Danio rerio: one gene and its partner. The protein of the gene in region 2 interacts with the protein of the main gene of each other region in a biochemical or structural test. Links are inferred from orthologs where the notes say so. Each region holds a gene or a part of one and is shown on either strand. Other genes may lie near its edges.

The links. The genes of interacting proteins can lie anywhere in the genome.
Region 1: the proteins of hspg2 (region 2) and fbln2 form a complex in vitro, tested with the Homo sapiens proteins (2 studies listed by BioGRID). The link is inferred for Danio rerio from reciprocal best matches to the Homo sapiens genes HSPG2 and FBLN2.

The regions. Positions count from the first base shown.
Region 1 is NC_133186.1:29,445,126-29,455,531, forward strand, and holds part of fbln2 (fibulin-2), read left to right. Parts: intron 1-6,582; coding exon 6,583-6,717; intron 6,718-9,961; coding exon 9,962-10,099; intron 10,100-10,406. UniProt on the Homo sapiens protein: Its binding to fibronectin and some other ligands is calcium dependent. May act as an adapter that mediates the interaction between FBN1 and ELN.
Region 2 is NC_133198.1:29,485,052-29,495,457, reverse strand, and holds part of hspg2 (basement membrane-specific heparan sulfate proteoglycan core protein), read left to right. Parts: intron 1-1,305; coding exon 1,306-1,435; intron 1,436-2,815; coding exon 2,816-2,962; intron 2,963-3,367; coding exon 3,368-3,502; intron 3,503-3,672; coding exon 3,673-3,854; intron 3,855-5,085; coding exon 5,086-5,281; intron 5,282-5,666; coding exon 5,667-5,846; intron 5,847-7,334; coding exon 7,335-7,595; intron 7,596-9,113; coding exon 9,114-9,270; intron 9,271-10,073; coding exon 10,074-10,171; intron 10,172-10,255; coding exon 10,256-10,406. UniProt on the Homo sapiens protein: Integral component of basement membranes. Component of the glomerular basement membrane (GBM), responsible for the fixed negative electrostatic membrane charge, and which provides a barrier which is both size- and charge-selective.

The sequences.
Region 1 (10,406 bases), on a different chromosome or scaffold from region 2:
TTTATTACAGTATTAAATAATCTTTGTCAATGTTAATGAAAATAAAGTTGTTGATTGTAAGTTGTTGATTAATAAATGCTGTACAAATATTGTTCTTTATGAGTTCATGTTAGTAAATCCATCAACTACTGTAACAATAACCAATGAAACTTTATTGTAAAGTGTGACAATTTTAGGTTTAATTTGTTGTTTCATTCTTCTAAAAGATTATTTTCAATTAATAGATTTCTACAAAAATGTGTGAATTCAAAACTAATTTAAGCTTGAGGTTTTGTTTTTTATTGTACTGTATACTGTATTAGTGTTTTAAATACATATACCATGACTATATATGTCATAACTTGATAATAAATTAATATTATATCTAATGAATCTATTTTAGTTTATTATTGCAATCACAACGCTTGATTTAAATTTAGAGAAAAATGTAAATATGAATTGACCACCATCTCAAATGGCCATCGTCTCTTTCATCTCAACTCTTATCAATCACATTGTTGAAATAATGTTCACAGACCATAATCCTAATAGCTTCACGGCAGTCACATCCCTTTGCAATAGCACTAACCCACTCCCAGAAATACATTATTCATCCCATGCATATCCTCTAATGCATTTCAGAGCACCATATTGTTATGATAAAGCCAATTTTTTGAATAAGTGCCACTGCTTGTGTACGTTGATGAGGCGGCTTGTTGACACTTCTATGCTGGATCTGCTACAGATTCCAAGAAGGTGTCAAAGCTGTTTTCTCTGTGCCTTATAAAACTAAATAATGGGCATTTGAAATAGGATTCTCTTAAAAAGATTTTGCAGACTTTGCAGAGAACTAGATTATGGGACAAAAAGGTGCAGTCCGTTTAAAAAAAAAAGATGCTGTCATCATTTACTCAAATGATGTGTCATGAATTGACAGTTTTGTTTAACCAAAAATATATGGAATGAGTTAAAGGGCACCTATTTTACCCCTTTTTCAAGATTTTAAATATGTCTTTTGTGTCTCCAGAATGTGTCTGTAAAGTTTCAGCTCAAAATACCCATCAGATGTTTTTGTTGCCTGTGCCTTTAATACAAATGAAGTGGTTCTCTCTTCCCACCGTTCCAACGTGCGTCGTAATTGATTAATGTTTATTTGTTTTCTGCCAATCAATTTAGTGTAAATTAACTAAGCCAAAAGAAAATGAATGAAAGAATGAACAACATTTAGTTTTTCAGTGAGAACATATTAGAATAACAGAAAATTTGACATTTAAGACATTGAAGGATGAGAATTTTTTTTTTCAGGGTAAAAGAGGTGCAGCAATTTAGTAAGCCATCTCTTCTTTATTTAACCTTCTCCCCATTTCTCTGAACATTTCCCAACATTGTATGTATGCAATGTACTGTACTTTCATATTTCCAGATAGTTTTTTTCCCCAGTGTATTTTGATTTGCCTAAGTTTTTGAGCTTTTTTGAATGAATATATTCAATATGAAGTTTATCTGTGCTCCAAAACAATGACAGAATTCAAATATATTACAATATATATCTAAAATATGAGTCTTACAGTCTCTCATTACCAACTGTATGAATCAACGATTCTGATGACATCACTCTCTGCATGTCAGCCTCTCATCACATTTTCTTTCAATTAAATGCTCTCTAGAATCTGAGGAATCACTCTTCAATGCTATAAATAGATGGTGAAGTTGCAGCTGAAGTACTTATTTGCAAAATTACTGATCTACATGGTAAAAAATATCCATAAATTAGTTTTCCATATTTTGTGATTAATTTTTTTTTTTTCCCCAGTATATTTATGCATTTGAATTGCATTATAAGTCCTTAATCGTTCTTTCAACAACTTTTAACCTTGAGAAGTTTTTAAAAAGTGAGTTTTGTATATTATGCTACAAAATGTTCCAGGTTACAGAAGTAACCCTTCATTTCCCGAGGAGGGGAACGGAAGTGCTATACAGTGGATTTGATCTTAGGAAAATCCGCGTATGGGAGGTTTCGGTTCAGAAGCCGCTTGTCTGAAAGAGTATTGAACGGGGCAATGAATGCAATGAATTGGCAGAGTAAGCTTGCACAGGTGTGCTTCATTGCCAATTATCCCAGCATATAAGCACACCTGGAGCGAGCAAACGCCATCCTTTTAAGCTGAAGAGACTTTCAAACAGCTAAGGGACAGTCATTATGGCGACGGAGTATAGCACTTCCGTTCCCCGTCTCAGGGAACGAAGGCTTACTTCTGTAACCTCGAACATTCCCCTTCGATTGGGGAACTTCAGTGCTATACAGTGGATTTGATCTTGGGAAAATCCACGTATGGGAGAACTATGGAAAGCGCCATAATGACTGCACCTTACCAACACCCCCGATGAGGGGATAGTCAAGCACCCACATCATGGGAGGCGCGGTCCTCCAACGTGTCCCTGGCCCTAATTTATCCTACTTCAACAGAAGTCTTACGGATTTAGATATATTTTTTTGGGAAGTCGTGAGCATCTAGATAATTCTATTCGAAATACGACAGTACGTTGGGAAGCGTGCAATCCCAATAGGGAGGACGCTGCGAAGGCCATCCGCTACCCAAGGGGGAATAGATGGCAGAATTTACATATGGACTAGCCCTAAGAAGGGGGAGTACGCATAGAAAAAAGTGGTTAGCGAGGAGGGAAGACACGGGTCCACCCGGGGGGGGACTTAACCGTGGCGGAATAAGCATGGATGGGATCGCCTAGTGGGGATCACGCATAGCAGACACCTATACCCAAAACGCGGGCTGACCAGCGGGCAGACCTCCAACGTAAAGGGCCAGCAGGTGACTCCTCCGCTGAGTCAGTGCTGGGGGCCACGGAGGAATCTGCAGGGCTCACCTGACGGGGAACTTTACTGACAAATAAAAAGGCGCACGTACCTCCGTGTTAGAGAGAATGCCGCAGCAAGCGTGTTTCAACACCCTACCGAGTTGTTTCCTCAATCACCAAAGGGTTACCTAATACCCTTGAGAAAACCGGCTCCACTCGCAGATTGTAAAACCTTGCAAATGTGTTGGGTGTAGCCCAGCCCGCAGCTCTACAGATGTCTGTTAAAGAGGCGGCGCATGCGCGCGCCCGAGAGGATGCGAAGATCCGAGGGGAGTGCGCACGCAGTCTCGGGGGATGCGGCTCACCTCGGCTCTGATAAGCGAGAGAATGGCATCCACAATCCAGTGGGAAAACTTAATTTCAATACGGCACTTCCCTGCTGCCGACCGCCATAACAGACGAAGAGCTGCTCAGATGATCTAAACTCTGAGTGCAGTCCGGATAATACGCAAGACGCAAACTGGACAATGAAGAAAGGGCTGGGTCTGCCTCCTCCGGGGGCAGCGCTTGCATGCTCACTACCTGGTATTAAAACGGAGTGGTAGGAACCTTGGGCACATATCGCGGGCGGGGTCTCAGGACGTGAGAGAAAGCCAGCCCAATTACAGGCACAAGTCACTGACTGAAAAAATGCCTCCGGGTCCCCGACCCTCTAATCGATATCAACGCGACCAGCAGAGCTGTCTTCAGGGACAGAAAGATACTGAGTCGAGGATCGAAGGGATCTGACGCGGCTCGTGTAATGAGGGCGAGATCCTAAGAGGGCATGGGAGGGGGCGGGGAGGATTAGTTCGCCTATCGCCCCTAAGGAACCGGATGATGAGGTTATGCATTCCCACGGTGGTGCCAGCCACCGCGTCATGAGAGCGGAGATGGCAGCCATGTAACCTTGAGTGTGGAGGGCGACAGCCTGCTCTCCAGCTTCTCTCGGCGTAAAGAAAGCACAACGCTGATCTGGCAAATTATGGGGATCTTTTCTGCGAGAGACACACCATTCAGTGAATAGACTCCACTTCAGGGCATAGGCGCGCTCGGGAAGGGGGCTCTAGCCAGAGTGACGGTAATAGCCACCGCAGTCGGAGGTTACCTAAGTCTTCCTCGCGTCTAAGGACCTCTAAAGATTGTCGAGGGTGCCAGATGGTGCCCTGTCCCTGAGAGAGTAGGTGCTCTCTCGAAGGGAACTGCCAGGGGAGGGCTATCGCGAGGAGGGAGAGCTCTGACATCCAGGTCCGGTTGAGCCAGAGGGGCGCAACCAGCAACCTGTTCCTCGTCCTCCCTGACCTTGCACAGTAACTGCGCGAGCAGGCTCACTGGGGGAAACGCGTATTTGCGCATGCCCCGAGGCCAGCTGTTAGCCAGTGCATCTGTGCCGAGAGCACTCGGTCAGGGAAAAGAACAACTGGCAATGAGCGATCTCGGGGGAAGCAACCGATTGATCTAGGCTTCCCCGAATCGCGCCCATATCAGCTGAACAGACTCGGGGTGGAGTCTCCATTCTCCAGGACGTAAGGCTGCCGTAAAAAAGCGCATCGGCTGCACGGTTGAGCTTGCCTGAATATGAATGGCGTGCAGAGATTTCAGCCGCGGATGACTCCTGAGGAGCAGACGGCGGGCGAGCTGAGACATGCGGCGAGAGCGCGTGCCCCCTATATGGTTGATATATGCCGCCGCCGCCGTACTGTCCGTCCTGACCAGCAAGTGTTGCCGCTCTAGCACCGGAAAAAAACGGTGGAGAGCGAGGAACACTGCCAACAGCTCCAGGCGATATGGCAATGCAACTGGGTACCTTTCCAGATCCGCAGCCGCATGCCCGCAACGCACAGCCCCCCAGCCCGTGTTGGAAGCGTCTGTTGAAACGACAACAAGACTGGACGCCTGTCCTAGAGGCACTCAGGCCTGTAGGAACGAGGGGTCGCTCCAAGGGCTGAGGGCGCGGCGACACAGCGCAGTAACAGAGACTCGGTGTGCGCGCGCGTGCCATGTGCATCTGGGGACTCGATCGTGAAGCCAGTGCTGATGTGGTCTCATATAGAGTAATCAGAGCAGCCTGAAGCGGCTGCGGATGCCATATGCCCCAGGAGCCTCTGAAATAGTTTCAGTGGGACCACTATTTTACTGTCGAGCTCTCTCAGACAGTACAGCATCAGCAGTCCAGCTCCAGCCCGAGAGAAGAGATCCTATGCACGGGGGCGAGTTTGCTCTTTTCTCGGTTGACCTAAAACCCCAACAGGTGGAAGTGCCGGAGCACTTTGTCTCTGTGCATAATCAATTGCTCCGAGAGAAGGCAAAAATCAGCCAGTCATTAAGAAAACTGAGTATGCGGATGCCCGTAAGCCGAAGGGGCGCTAAGGCACCCTCCGCTGGCTTGGTGAGGACCCGCGGAGACAGAGAGAGCCTGAAGGGGAGGGCTTTGTATTGCCACGCTCGACCTTCAAACCGCAGAAACTGACGGTGGCGAGGAAGAGTGGAGACATGGAAATACGCGTCCATCAGGTCTAATGCTGCAGACCAACCCAGAGGATGAACGCACCGGAGGATGCACTTCTGCGTGAGCATTCTGAACGGCAGCTTGTGCAGACAGCGGTTCAAAACGTGCAGATCTAGGATTGGCCGTGACTCACCGCTCTTTTGGGCACGATGAAGTGTGGGCTGTAAAACCCGCTCTCCATCTCGGCTGGAGGGAGCGGCTCGATTGCATCCTTCGCCAGGAGGACAGCAATCTCCTCTCACAAGACAGGGGCGGACAGGGGGCTGACCCTGGTGAATACACACCCGTGACTTGGGGGGCTATTGCATAGCCGACAACTCAGCAGGACAACAGCCTTCCAGGACTGAGTTTGGACACCCCTGTTCTAAATGAAGAAATGCAGACCTATACCTACAAAATAATGTAAATCCAGGCAAACTGCAAATTTTTCAGTGGTCTGTTCAGTTTTTTTGATAATGTTGACGGTGTTGATAATGTAAACATAGCTAGCTAGACTTCTACACTACACCGCAGCTCTGTACTTGCAGTATCATTATGTGCTGCTGCCTAAAAACAAGACTCACTTTTGGTCACTGTCATGACAACAGTTTTTGATTCTGAAATTTTTCCTTCTGGAAATAAGTTTGGTATTATCCAAAAGTTTGAGCATCTACAAAAAATTCCTAAAATTGAAATCCGTTGTCTACTCTGTGATGTTAGCAGCTGTTGTGTGGAACAGATAAGGTAACATGTGCTCTTTTCTCTTCTGTCCTAATGTGGCCATGCAGGAGAAAGCACAAACATTTCCACTCGGTCGCCTGAAATTATTTACCGTGGCAATAACATGACAGATTGAATCCTTTTCTTGGCCCGTAAATCAGCCATTGTCTAAGCTTCAAGTAATTATTTTCTCCTCTCTCTGGGCCATGCTCGCTTTCCAATCTTGTTTAGCCATTTTTTTTTTTCAACATAGTCCAGAGTTATTGCCTTTAATATATCTGGCCAACCGAAGATCTTGACAGTTCACCACAGCACTGGCACTAAAGAATGAGAAGCAAAATGTGCCACAGCTTACAGAAACACACAACTCCTCTCTTTGTTTTTCACACTTCTGTCTCACCTGCTTGCTTTACGACCAGCTTCAGCTTCTCCATTGCCGGATCTTGTGGTTGCAACTGTCCATTATGTCTCAGGCTGTGTGCGAGGATGAGGATGTTTTATTTTAGAGTTTAGGAAGATAATGCTGTGCTTGTGTTTTGCAGATGTGAATGAGTGTGTGACGAACACACACACCTGTCGGGCAGACGAGCGCTGCGTGAACTCAGTTGGAGGATTTGTGTGCGAAAGGATGATCTTGTGTTCGAGTGGTTACCAGCTGAGAAATGGAGTATGTGAAGGTGAGTTGGGGATACAGTATTAATAAATGCACACATGTACACTTACCGGCCACTTTATTAGGTTCACCTTACTAGTACCAGGTTGGATCCTTTTTTGCCTTCAGAACTGCCTTAATCCTTCATGGCATAGATTCAACAAGGTACTGGAAATATTCCTCAGAGAAGTATTTTTTATTAAGCAAGTTTAGAACCCAAATGTACTGTAGGGCTTATTTTACAGTGCCATTTCATATTTAGCTCTTATGTATATTTGATTATATAAAAAAAACTTTTTTAAAAATTACACAATTAGGCTTTAATTTTACTAAAAGTGCACACAGAGCATTTTCTGTTAATTGAAAAATGCTAAATGTTATGTTTACATGAACTTTGCTTTTATGTGGGATCAAATCATCAAAAGAAATGGCAGCACTCCAACTATCCCCAACTATCAGAGCTGTTCGCCGATGCATATGGACAGAATCAATAACAAACTGTCCTCCATGTTGGTCAGAGTCCTCTATCTCACACTGCTCTATGGCTCTGAGAATGGTGAGTACATCATCTGCATCTGCTGCAGAGAAGAACCAGAAAACATACAGTAAAATGCAGATTTTGCAAGCTTTCGCAGTTCGAAAGAGGCCACAGCTGATCGCCTCGGGCTTTCGCTTGCTAACATCTAAAGCATCCCGCACTCTGTTTTTACACAAAGCAGATGCCTACATACATCTAACCGTTGCCTTTGAACAGAGAAAAACTTTGCAAGAGTCTCTGATTCTTGTCAGGACTTGGCCTGGTGCATGATAATAAGTTGAAGAGATAATTATTGTAATAAGTGACGGAATGGGAATAGTGGATTTTAAGTAATTGCAGGCTTTGGGCCATTGAAAATTCATGCTCTGTTGCTGCATTGCATCTGTAGGATTTGGAAAGACTTGCGCTGCCCTCGATTAAAGATTTTCCTGGTCGACTAGTAATCGTTCATATTAAGCAATTAGTTGACAAATCAAACATGTGAAGCCGTTTAAATCATAATATTGAGCCTTTACACAGCCTAATAATTGATCTATCATCCACATTTACCAAGTCACAGCACACCGGCAGACGTAAAAATTGTGTATGAAGGCTACATTCACATATTAGGGGAGAGTATGGTACAAAGTAATGTGAGGAAAAATGTGACATGGAGTTTTAAGGTGTTTGCTCAGGGTTAACCATGGCAAACTTCCGAGGATTTCAACACAATGTCAGCAGATGTTCTCATGCCAGTTACTGAAAAACATAGCAGAATTTTTTTTCAGCATAAAATAATTTTTATTATACTCTTATTTTTTTTATATATATATATAAAAAAAAATCTGTGATTTTGAAAATATGTAAGTAAAATTTTATATTGTTTTGGTTACTGTCTTTAGGGCTAAAAGACACACTGTTGGACATTGGAATTTTGAGTGTAACATTGTAAACTTTTTATGTTAAAAAATGTATTTTAATAGAAAGTATTTTTTCATTGCTAATAATGCAAATAAATTCATTGTAATAATGGATAATAATGCAAATAAACCCAAAATGTGTTTATAGAAATAGATAAATAAATAAATAAATAAATACACATGCTGTGCTGTGTAGAATAAAGAGTTAAATACTGAGGAAATGTACTATCTAACGTAAACTGAATTTAAATTAATTGTGTAAAATCTGACTTTATAACTACGTGTTACAACTAACCCTCTGTCTGTTACAACTTGCCCGCAGGTGGGGTAAATAGTAACATTTTTACTCCTGGCACTTTGGCCAATACTGCACAGGAACCATAGGTCCAGCGATCATACAGCCAGTGCTCATTTGTAGGAAAGGCTTGTGTGTTGTTGGTAAAAAAAAAAAATGGTTTGTCTAATCTGATTACTTCTTTGGTCATAACCAAAAAGTGTTACTTTGTGCTCCGTTCTCCCCTAATAATATATTGATCAACAAGTGCTGAAACGTGCCGGAGTGCGATTGCCCCCCTCCCCTATCCCCCGCCCCCTCGGTCTGCCCCCAGATTGCATTTTTTACCTACCAAACCTGAGCACGCTATCGTCACTGATGATGCGAATATTCAGTTTAACTGAAAGAGAAGCTCTTTCGCTCAGCACGGTGGAGATTGCTTGGCTAAAGCGTTTTAGTCTGTTGGGATTTAGTGACACAGTGAAATATTTTTATTCACAACTTTTGACGTTCATAAATGATCATAAAAGAACTCGTGCTGTAGGTATTAGGAGGTTTGCTGAAGGTGCAGCTGACATGCAGTGAGGGGTTTGCGTCTTTATTTAAAAAGTTTGTGTTCATTGAATAGTAAGATGAAATGGGTCATGTATGGGAAAGGGATGTATGGGGTCGCCACAGCGGAATGAACCGCCAACTGATCCCGCATATGTTTTACTCAGCAGATGCCCTTCCAACCGTAACCCAACACTGGGAACCACCCATGCACACTCATTCACACACTTACACTATGGCCAATTTAGCTTATTAAATTCCCCTATACCGCGTGTCTTTAGACTGTGGGGGAAACCGGAGCACCCGTAGGAAACCCTTGGAACACGGGGAGAACATGCAAACTCAACAAAGAAAAGCCAACCGACGCAGCCGGGCTCAATTCACACACATTCTTGATTCCTAATTAAGTCACTGATATTATTCTTATGGTTTGTCAAATTTCAAAAATTAGAGTTCTTGTTACAGGATTAAAACCTGACTGATTTATCTAAACAGTTTGTAGCTTTTCAGTGCCGCTTATATCCATGTAAAAACACTTGCATGTGTCAGTATCATTAACAGGCAGCTTGTGAAATGCAAAGTCAAAAAATTTGTTTTTGTTTTGTTTTTTTCTATGATACCATGCATGAGGATGACTATGGAGGTACTGGGGGCTTGATCAGCTGTCTTAAAGTGTCTTGAAGCTGTTATTGAGCCACACTGCCACCTACTGTGAGGTTTTAACTTGTAATTGAGGATGGTTGTGATCTCTGTCCAAACCCATCTCCTCAATCAAAGCCCTCAGATGGGGCTCGGCTATTCATTATGCTGACATGCTTGCCAAATTTGGTGAGATTTACAGATTTTCCTGAAGGCCTTAAGAGGGGAAACCTAATTTGTTTGGACCTATAACAGCATCAGTCTCAAAAGCTAAACAAATCTCTCAGTGCAGGAACCCGACTGGATGGCGTCTGGCTGTCCGCTCCAGTGACCCATTTTGACATCTGCTGTGCTCTTTCTCTTCTAGACATCGACGAGTGTGTTATACGAACTCATAACTGTGGGATGGGCTTCCAGTGTCAGAATACTGATGGTTCATTCACGTGTAAGCCGAAACAACGCTGTCTCACAGGCTTCACTCAGGACTCACATGGCAACTGCATTGGTGAGAAAGACCTTTAGAATCACTTAGTGCCCCCTAGTGGACAGATGCGTATTGTCATGTAGTCAAATCAATTTTGCTTGAAAATACTCTTTATAAAATATTTATTTCTAAAAGTACTGACTCTAAAATAGTGCACCTGTCGTGCTTTTTTGAAGTATTACCTTTCATGCTGTGTTTAATATAGCTGTTTGTGAATGTAAAATGCCTGAAAGGTTTTAAAGATCAAATGCATGGTGGATAGAGTTGTTGCCTGCCAAAAAAAATATATAAACTGCCTGATCTGGGTTATAGTTTTAAACAAATTTAC
Region 2 (10,406 bases):
ACATTTCGTTTAATCACACTTAAATTCTACTTAACTTATGATTTTCTTCTTCTATTTAATGCAAAACTATATTCTGAAGAATGCTGGAAAAAAATTGCTGCTATTGGTATCACAATAACAGCTATTGGTATCAATAATAGGAACAAAATATACTATAGAAGTCAATTGCGTTTTTTTTTCTATCCTTCTTCAATATGTCTTGATTTGTAGTCAACAAAAGAAAAAAAATTGCCCATTGAGCAAACTTACAGTAGTGTTTACAAGCACCAAAAAGACCACAAAGTTTGATACATTATACATTTAACATTGCACAGAAACTTTATATAATTTGGCATCAACAGTCTGAATGTGTAGTACAATATTATAGAATATAGTATTATAGTATATCAATAGTATAATATAACCTCTAAAATTATAGTATATAGTATAATCTGACAAAGCTTTACAGGGTTACGTGGCCCTGGAAGTCACCAAAACATTTAACTAAAGGATAGTACATTTATAGGACTTTGCTTTTGAAGAAAACCACGTGCACACAATACTGTATGTTGTCATTCTCTTGTTTATCTAGAAATTACCTAATGATAACACTTTTTTTTAAACATCTACGTCTACCTGCTCTTTTTTTTTTAAGTGTAACACAGCCGTTTAAAAAAATACAAATTGCATTGCCTCACAGTTTTTATATGATGTAACAAAGCAGCAAATATTTGGAAAATTTGCTTAAAGTGATCACATACTAAAAAGTAAAGTCCTAAGTAAGCATTTTAAAGGAACGCTCCACTTTTTTTTGGAAATAGGCACATTTGTTTGCTATTTTCTTTCAATATAGCTGCATAATATTATTCCACCTCCTTGATTACAGATACTTTAGAATGAGCGGTAAATTCTTAGCCTTATCGATCTAGAAAACTAACATTTTTATATCATTCTTATTAAGCAATGTAATTACAGAAAAGTCAAGCTTTAAATAGAAAACTTATTGAAGCTCCTTTTTTTTTTTTAAGCAAGATGCTAATGGTCTAATCCGATTCAATGGATTATGCTAAGCTAAGCTAAAAGTGATTTTGCCAGACCCAGAGATCAGCTGAATGGATTACAAAAATGAGTAAAACTCAATTTTTTAACTGTATGGAAATTGTAAAATGAGCCTATTTAAAAAAAAAAAAATTATGTTTCCTTTAAGAAGAGGTCTGTTTTTGTGTGCCTGTTTTTTTCGTGGTAATAAGGATCTTTGTAATAGGTTTTCCGATTAGAGTGTTTAATGAATCGTTGGTTTGCTTGTGTTTGTGTGTTTGACTCCAGGTTTTGGAGACTCGGCTGCGGATCCTGCGGGCCTCTGCTGATGACACTGGAGATTATATCTGTACAGTGGAGAACGGCCCATCTCCACAAAAGGCCACTGTGTCTGTCTCTGTGACGTCCAGCGCCTCCCGTAAGTCCCTTTAACTGATGAAAAGTGTCAACATCTGTCATACATGTTTGATCATGTTTGATGTCATACACACTCATGTTTTAGGTTTTCTTGCAATATGTCAAAATGAAAGCTGTTTTTTAAGCTCATTATTTGTGGTGCTTTGTTCGCAAATTATTGATGCAGTTTCCAGTATTTCATGGTAAAATTCTACTTTAGATGAAACTATGGCTAATAACTAAATAAAGAACTTCTTCTTCTTTAAGACGTTCCTGAAATTTAGTTTTACCTTTATGAGACCACTACAGAATAGAATGGAATAGAATAGAATATAATAGAATAGAATAGAATAGAATAGAATAGAATAGAATAGAATAGAATAGAATAGAATAGAATAGAATAGAATAAAATAGAATAGAATAGTTTCATTTGAATTGGACTAAAGTACAGTGATATTTAGTGCTTTATATAATTGATTCTGTCCATTCAAATGAAACATACAAAAAATCTAGACGAAAAGAGCAGAAAATATATAAAAAATGTAAATAGTGAAATTAAATCAACAATTATATGTTATTGTTATATTGTTGCAACAGACCATATCTTAAAGGAATAGTTCACCCCAAAAAATACATATATATTTTCTGACTATGTCCTCTTCCTCAAGTTGTTTTAAACCTTTATGTGATTCTTTTTTTCTCATGAACACAAAAGAAGATATTTTGAAGAATGTTGTAAACTGGTAACCATTGACATCCATAGTATAAAAAATGTCACGGTCCGGTAGTACTCTATGTCATTGGTCACTGGTTTCATTCATTCTTTCATTTATTTTCCTTCGGCTTAGTCCCTTTATTCATCAGTGGTCGCCACAGCGGAATGAACCGCCAACTTACCCAGCATATGTTTTACACAGTGGATGCCCTTAAAGCTGCAACCCAGTACTGGGAAACACCCATTTACTCTGATTCACTCACACTACGGCCAATTTAGTTTACCTGATTCACCTATAGCACATGTCTTTGGACTGTGGGGGAAACCGGAGCACCAGTAGGAAACCCACGCAAACACAGGGAGAACATGCAAACTTCACACAGAAATGGCAATTGACCCAGCTGGTACTCGAAACCGCACCCTAATTGCTGTGAGGCAACAGGGCTAATTACTGAGCCACCATGTCACCCTCATAACTTTTGTGTTTAACAGAAGAAAGAAACTCAAACAGGTTTGTAACAAATGAAGGGTGAGTAAACGAATGCAGTATTTTCCAGTTTAGATGAACTATTCCTTTAAAATGTGCTACAATTTGAAGCAAAACACTTAACTAACATTTGTTTACAACATACACATTGTCAGCATAGTCAGTGTGTGCTCAGTGTATTTTGTGGTTTGATTTTGGAGTAGGCCTCCAGACTCCCATTATCTCCATTGAGCCGCATAGTGCAGTGGTGAAGCAGGGCGAATCGGCGAGCTTCAGGTGCAAGGTTCACAACGGAGCCCAGCCAGTGCGACTGGAGTGGAAACTCACCAATAACCTGCCTCTGCCAGGTACTGTACACAATTTTGTTCTGTTGCCCTCTGGAAGAAGGTTTAGAAGGGCTCGAGTGTCCACTTACGTGGAAAGCACATTTTAGCTCTTTAGTGCAAGCCTCGCGTTTTAACCGGCTGCTGCACCTCGCATTTTTAATATATAATATATAATATATAAAAAAATCATAATATATAAAAAAATCTGCTTTTTGTTAATGTGACATGTTTCTGTCCGATATTACAAGATCCATGCATACTGCCACTATAAATAAAAGTTGTGTTTTGAAGGATTTGACATGTGGCCCTTTACTTGGTTTGCAAAACTTGATGCGGCCCTCGGGTCTGAAAGGTTTGCCCACCACTGTGTTAGAACATGTCAAAATCTCCATATGTGATATGTCCTTATGAACTTCTCTTCTTTAGATAATGTAAAGGTGGGTCCTGACAGTTCAATCATGACTGTTACAAATGCCCAGGCGAAAAACCAAGGCACCTACCGCTGTGTGGCCAGCAACTTGTACGGAATGACTCATAGCATCGTGTCACTCATTGTGAGAGGTAGAGCAACATTAAATGCGACATTTTTTGAAAAACTGGTTTTGTGAATTGTATTATTGCCTTCACACTTAGCACATACTATTTCTGCTTGAGATTTTCCTTACATTTATTATCATTGTTCAGGCATAATGCTCATTTCTCTCTCTTTTTTTTTCTTATTTCATTGGTAGAATCTCCTAAGGCTGTGGTGACCCCTGCAGGACCAGTGCGAGTCAGGGTCGGTGATCCCATTAATCTTGAATGCCAGGCCGCTGGAGAGCCAAGACCCTCAGTCAGATGGCACAGACTGGACAACAATCGCAAGACAATGCTGAGCAGCACCGTGCCTGTTGACTCCAGTGCTATCATACAGGTTATGAATCATTTGTTGTATTGATGATGTTGATTTCCTGATTGTTTGGCCTTTATGTTCATCAGAAAGGTTTTATACTTTGTTTACAGTGAAGAGAAAAATTAGAGAGCAGTTCAAAACACCTTTTTTGTTTGTTTTTTTATTATGTGATCATCCTGGTTAAAAAAAATTAAGTATTGCTAGTAAATAGTCAATAAATAGTAAACAAATTGTAAAATAGTAGTATTGCTAGAACAGTATTTGCTAGAAAAACGCCATTTTATTAAATAACCAAGGTACTTTAGCAAATATCCTTCATTTGTGGACAAAACATGAACAGAATTAAAGGGGTAGTTCACCCAAAAAGGGAAATTCTGTCATAATTTTTTCACTCTTTTTTGTTTCAAACTGATTTTCTTTCACAAAAGCAAATATTTTGAATAAAGCTCGAAACCTGTAACTATTGATTTGCATAATATTTGTTTTTCTTACTATGGAAGTAAGTGGTTACAGCTTTCCAGCTTTGCTCAAAACATCTTCTTTTGGGTTCAACAGAAGAAAGAAACTCAAAGGTTTGGAACAACAGGGTTAGTAAATGATGTGTAAGTAAAAAAAATTTGGGTAAACTATCCTTTAAAGCCATCGTCATTTTTTGCCCCATTGACTTTTAAAACTTCTGTTTCGTACGTCGTCACTGTTTTGCAAACTAAATTCCTGAAATTGAATGCTTGCTTTGAATGATGTCAGCTAGTCACTCTCATCCTGCTATCACTGACTGAAGTTGCTTTCTTAGTCATAACATTGTCATCAAGGAATTTCCAGACATTTTAACAAGGTTTAGATCAGGACTTTGGGCTCCCATTTTATTATTTCATTGTTTTCATCTCCTTCATCTATGTTGTAATGGCACTCATTGACCTGCATAAGCATTGCTGACTGATTAGGCTTTATATGCAAGAAAAGTAACCTTTTTGAATCTGTTTCTCAAACAGCAGGATACTGTATGCTGAGATCAGACCTTCAGTGCTGAATTGGCGTTTATGTATAATGATACAGCCACTGAAAGGGATTTAAAAGTGTTTTTTATGACCATCCTTTTTTCAAATTTCTTACTGTGCTTCATAATATTTGTAACTAATGAAGTGTGTAAAAAACTGCTCTTTTATTAGTAAAGGATCATTTTAAATAGGACTAAGTAGTTACCTCAGCATTGAAAAAACTGACTGTTCTGTAATTATGATCTCCACTGTAGGTGTTGGTTGCTCGACCGGAGGATAGTGGCACATATGTGTGCTCAGCGCAGAATAACCAGGGCACAACTGAGACTCGAGTGGAGGTGTTTGTAGAAGGAGGCCCTCAGGTGCCAACTGTTCCCCGTGCCAGTGTCCGTGAACCCATGATAATAGTGGTAGAGGGATCAACTGCCACACTGCATTGTGATGCCCATGGTAGGTGCTACTGTAAGCCCTTGGTTAAAGGGATAGCTCATCCAAAAATGAACATTCTGTCAGTTTTTACTCATCCTCTACTTGTTTCAAACCTGTTTGAGTTTCTTTCATCCATTGAGAACACAAAAATGCTGGAAAAAACATACCTCCATAGTATTTTTTTCCTATCATGTATGTCAGTGGCTGCTATTTTCCAACATTTTTCAAACTGTCTTAATTTGTGTACAACAGAAGAAAGAAATTCATACATTTTTAGAACCAAATGAGTGTAAATAAATGGTGAGGCAATTTAAATTTTTGAGTGAACTATCCATTTAAAAGTACCAGTAATAAACCTTAGTCTAATTTTAAAGCGTGTTCTAAAGCTCTTATATATTAACTACAGGATTCCCAAAACCCACCATCACATGGTTTAAAGAACGCTCGTCTCTTCCTTGGAGACACAAGATTGTGGACAACAGCCTGATCTTGCCTAATGTAGGCCGTCAGGACTCTGGTCAGTACGTCTGCAATGCCACTAACCATCTGGGCACCAGTGAAGTCACCATTATGCTGGAAGTAGACAGTGAGTACTTTGAAATTATTTGCTAGAAAAAAAATGTCTTTAAACTAATTAAATGTATACACAATTATCTTTTTGTGACATATTTGTACATTAGTTAACACAAACTTCCAGAAATGAATTTCGTTATTTCAGAAATGTAAGAATTTTGATTAGACTACAAACTATTACTATAAATCTAAAAAGTGAGATTTATTTGGCATAATTTACTTGTCTTCCTGGTATAGTACCATTTTTGAGTTTAAAATTGTGGGATAACAAGGTTATGTAGTAGCGTAAAATAAGTTAAACTATTTTTTTGTAATTGAAGTATAAAACGATTAGCATAATTATAGTAAGTTGTAATAAAATGTGTTAACTCCCACCCAGAACTGAGCTCGAGCTCTGTCACTGTTGGTGTCAGAAGTGGGATAACGTTTGGTAGAAGTATTGAGAGTCTGGATAGCGAGTTTTGTGTACAAATATATCTTCTTACTTTATTGTCTTTATTTCTTGTTTTGTTGTTTGTTTATTTTTGTATATATTTTGACTATTTTTGGGAATTTTGAATTGGACACTTTGCACTATAAATAAACAAACCTTTGCACCATAGTACTATATCGGCTGAGCCTTAATTCTTATTTGTTTCTTGCTTCCCACAATTAACCATAACAACTCCTCTGTGTGACAAGTGGTGTCAGAAGAACTGGCATTAAGTGTTTAAGTGTTTTGGAGAAGATTATTATTGTGGTTTAAATGATAATTATGTTTTAAGTGTTACGAGAGTGGTACAGTAGGTCACAAAAAGGGTGGGAGTTTGGCCTATCAAAGCAGTGACCATACCCCAAGATATTTGTTTGTTAACCAAGTCAACGAGAACGTTCGAGCAAACCCTCTTTTATGTATATTGTGGATATATATATATATATATATATATATATATATATATATTTTTTTTTTAATATTTTTTTTTCTTTTTTTTTTTTTCTTTATTATTTATTTAGTTTTTTTTAAGCACCATTTTAAGGTCAAAATTATTAGCCCCTTTAAGCTGTTTGTTTTTTTCGATAGTCTACAGAACAAATAATGATTCTGACTTCAACTGTATATATATATATATATATATATATATATATATATATATATATATATATATATATATATATATATATATATATATATATATATATATATATATATATATATATATATATATATATAATAATCTTCACTGTAGACTGTTTAGACCTGCCAGCACTGTAAATAAAACACTGTGCTCTGGAGTGCTATTGAGTACAACGTAATTTTTGTTGCCCCCAGAGTGAGCTGAGTCGGCTCTGTTGCATTTTGCAATTATGTGTGATTATATTTTGTTTTGGTCAGATATTTTTACTTAAAAACATTTGATCAGCTGTGCAAATTTTTCCAAGTGTGGAGCATATTTTCCTGCTGTTGTAAAGCCAGCTGTAATTATCCAACATCCTCTAATTGACGTGTGTTTGGTTTGTGCAGCCCCACCTTATGCCACTTCCTTGCCTAATGACGTGTCTGTGCGCGTGGGTGAAGTAATCCGGCTGCAGTGCCTGGCCCACGGCACACCACCACTGCGATATGAATGGACTAAAATCAACGGCAGTCTGCCCTCTACTGCCCAGCTGCAGGGAGGAGATCTGCAAATCAACCTGGCCAAAGAAAACGATGCGGGCACATACAGGTGTGTGGCCAGCAATAAGGTTGGCAAGAGCGAAGCACTGGCCAAAGTCTCTGTCCGATGTAAGTATTGCTCCTTTCAGTACGTGTGAACACACCAGTCTTACAGATATAGTACCGGTCAAAGGTTTGGGATCAGTAAGATTCTTAAATGTTTTTAAAGAAAGCATATTTTGCTCTTCAAGGCTGTATTTGTTTGATCAAAATACGGTAAAAGCTGTAAAATATTATTATATTTAAAATAGTTTTCTTATCGAATGTAGTTTAAAATAATATTTATTCCTGTGCTTTATGCTGAATTTTCAGTGTCTTTGATGTCACATGATGCTTCAAAAATCATTCTAATAAGATTATTTGCTGCTTTATTATGATCAAAACAATCAATAATAATGATCTCAAATCTGTAAAATTGCGAAATATCATTGCAGTTTAAAATAGTTTTTTTTTTCCTAAATGTAGTTTTGAATATTATTTATTCCTGTGCTTTATCTAAAGCTGCATTTTCAAGGTCTTTGTTGTCTTTGGTTGAAAAACATGTAATGTTGGTAAATTTGACAATTTAGGATTCTTAGATGAAGAGAAAGTTCAAGATAACAGCATTAACATTTAAAATGTTTTTAATTTACTCACGATTGAACCAGTTAATGTGTCCTTCATGGATGCAAGTACATACAGTTGAAGTCAGAATTATTAACCCCCCCCCAAATAATTAGGCCCCATTTATTTCCCCCCCAATTTCTGTTTAATGGAGAGAAGGTTTCTTCAACACATTTCTAAACAAAATAATTTTAACAACTCATTTAATAACTAAATTTCTTTTATCTTTGCCATGATGACAGTAAATCATATTTGACTAAATATTTTCAAGACACTTCTATACAGCTAAAAAGTGACATTTAAAGGCTTAACCAGGTTAGTTAGGTTAACTAGGCAGGTTAGGCTAATTAGGCAAGTTTTTGTATAACGATGGTTTAATATAGCTTAAAGGGACTTATAATTTTGTCCTTAAAATTGTTTTAAAAAATTAAAAACTGCTTTTATTCTAGCCAAAATAAAGCAAATAAGACTTTCTCCACAAGAAAAAATATTAACAGACATACTGTGAAAATTTCCTTGCTCTGTTAAACATCATTTGGGAAATATTCAAAAAAGAAAATAAAGTTCAAAGGGGGGCTAATAATTTTGATTTTAACTGTATATTTAGAATGGGAGTTTTTATGTATTAACATTGATACTAATAATATTCATGTAGTATTAATAAATATTTCTTGAGCAGCAGATCATCATATTATAATTATTTCTAAAAAGTCATGTGACAATTGACAAGAGTACTGAGAATTGATGCTGAAAATTTAACATTAAATCACAAATTAAACCTGAAACTGCGTTCAATAATACAGTGGTTTTAAATTGTAATAATATTTGACAGTATTTGATTGTTTTTTACTGTATTTTTGATAAACCAAATCCAGCCTTTCTAACTAGAATAGAACAAAAAAGTCTTGCTGATTCTAGATGTTGGGCTGGTTATAGACTTTTTCACTTTTCCTCATCTTGAGCTCTGTCCTGTCTTTTCTGCAGCTTCTCTGTCAGTGAAAGTGTCTCCTCAGGTGGAGGTGAAGGCTCTGGGCAGTGCTGTTGAGTTCACCTGCGCTGCTAAAGGAGGGCTACAGATTGAGTGGCTGAAGGAGGGAGGAGTCCTGCCACCAAACCATCACATTAAAGACGGGATTCTCAGGTGACTGACTACAAAACATCAAAACTGTCAGTGTGTAATAAGATGAATTTATTTGATAAAAACTGTAAAAATGTTGTGGACGCCAATAGCCTGGTGATTAAATGTGTTGAGTTTGATTCCCTTTCCATCTGTCTCCCTCTCCACTGTCCTGTCTAATAAATGTTAAAAATCTCTTAAATATAATTATAAATAAAAAAAAGTTAAAAATATTTAAATATTAAAAAAAAAAATTTTTTTTTAATGTTTTAACCGACCCCAAACATTTGAATTGAAGTCATTAATTCACATAAATACACATTCATATTTATTTTATATTGCATTAAATATTTATTTATTGTTTAAAATGTATTTTTAGTCATTAAAGTCATTGTTTTCTTATTGATTCATTCCTTAATTAAATTCAATTCAGTGAAGGCATTATTTTACTTAAAAAAGATGCATTTTTACCCCTTCATTAAATATTTATTCATTTTTTAAAACAAATTTTGTAATGGTTGATTTTAATGCTGTTAAAATAGGGCAAGGGGCGAAGAAGTGGCGCAGTAGGTAGTGCTGTTGCCTCACAGCAACAAGGTCTAAAGGGACTAAGCCGACAAAAAAATGAATGAATAAATGAATGAATGAATGAATGAATAAAAGAGGGCAAACAGAGGAAAAATGTTAATTTTTATTCCAATTCCAAGTTTATTCCAATATCGTTATTAATTTTATTTCACAATAAAGTGTGTAGTATTTGTGTTATATAAAGCTTTGAATTATTTTCTGTGTGTTTTTAATCATGATGTTTGTTATTATTCATGCAGAATTGAGAATCTTGAGCAAAGCAATGAGGGAATCTACACCTGCAGAGTTACAAGTCAGTTTGAACATGCTCAGGACAGCGCCAAACTCCTCATTCAAGGTCCTCTATGATACCCAAAATAAAATTAGCTTCTCGAGTTACCTATCTTTAAATCCCTCTGACTTAGTCTTTTTGTTTTCATAGCTCTTCCCAAAGTGAAGATCAACGTGCGTACATCAGTGCAGACGGTGATGGTGGGAAACTCTGTGGAGTTTGAGTGTCATGCCATTGGTGACCCCGAGCCCACAGTGCGCTGGAGTAAAGTCGGAGCTCCTCTTCCTGATCATGTGGAAAT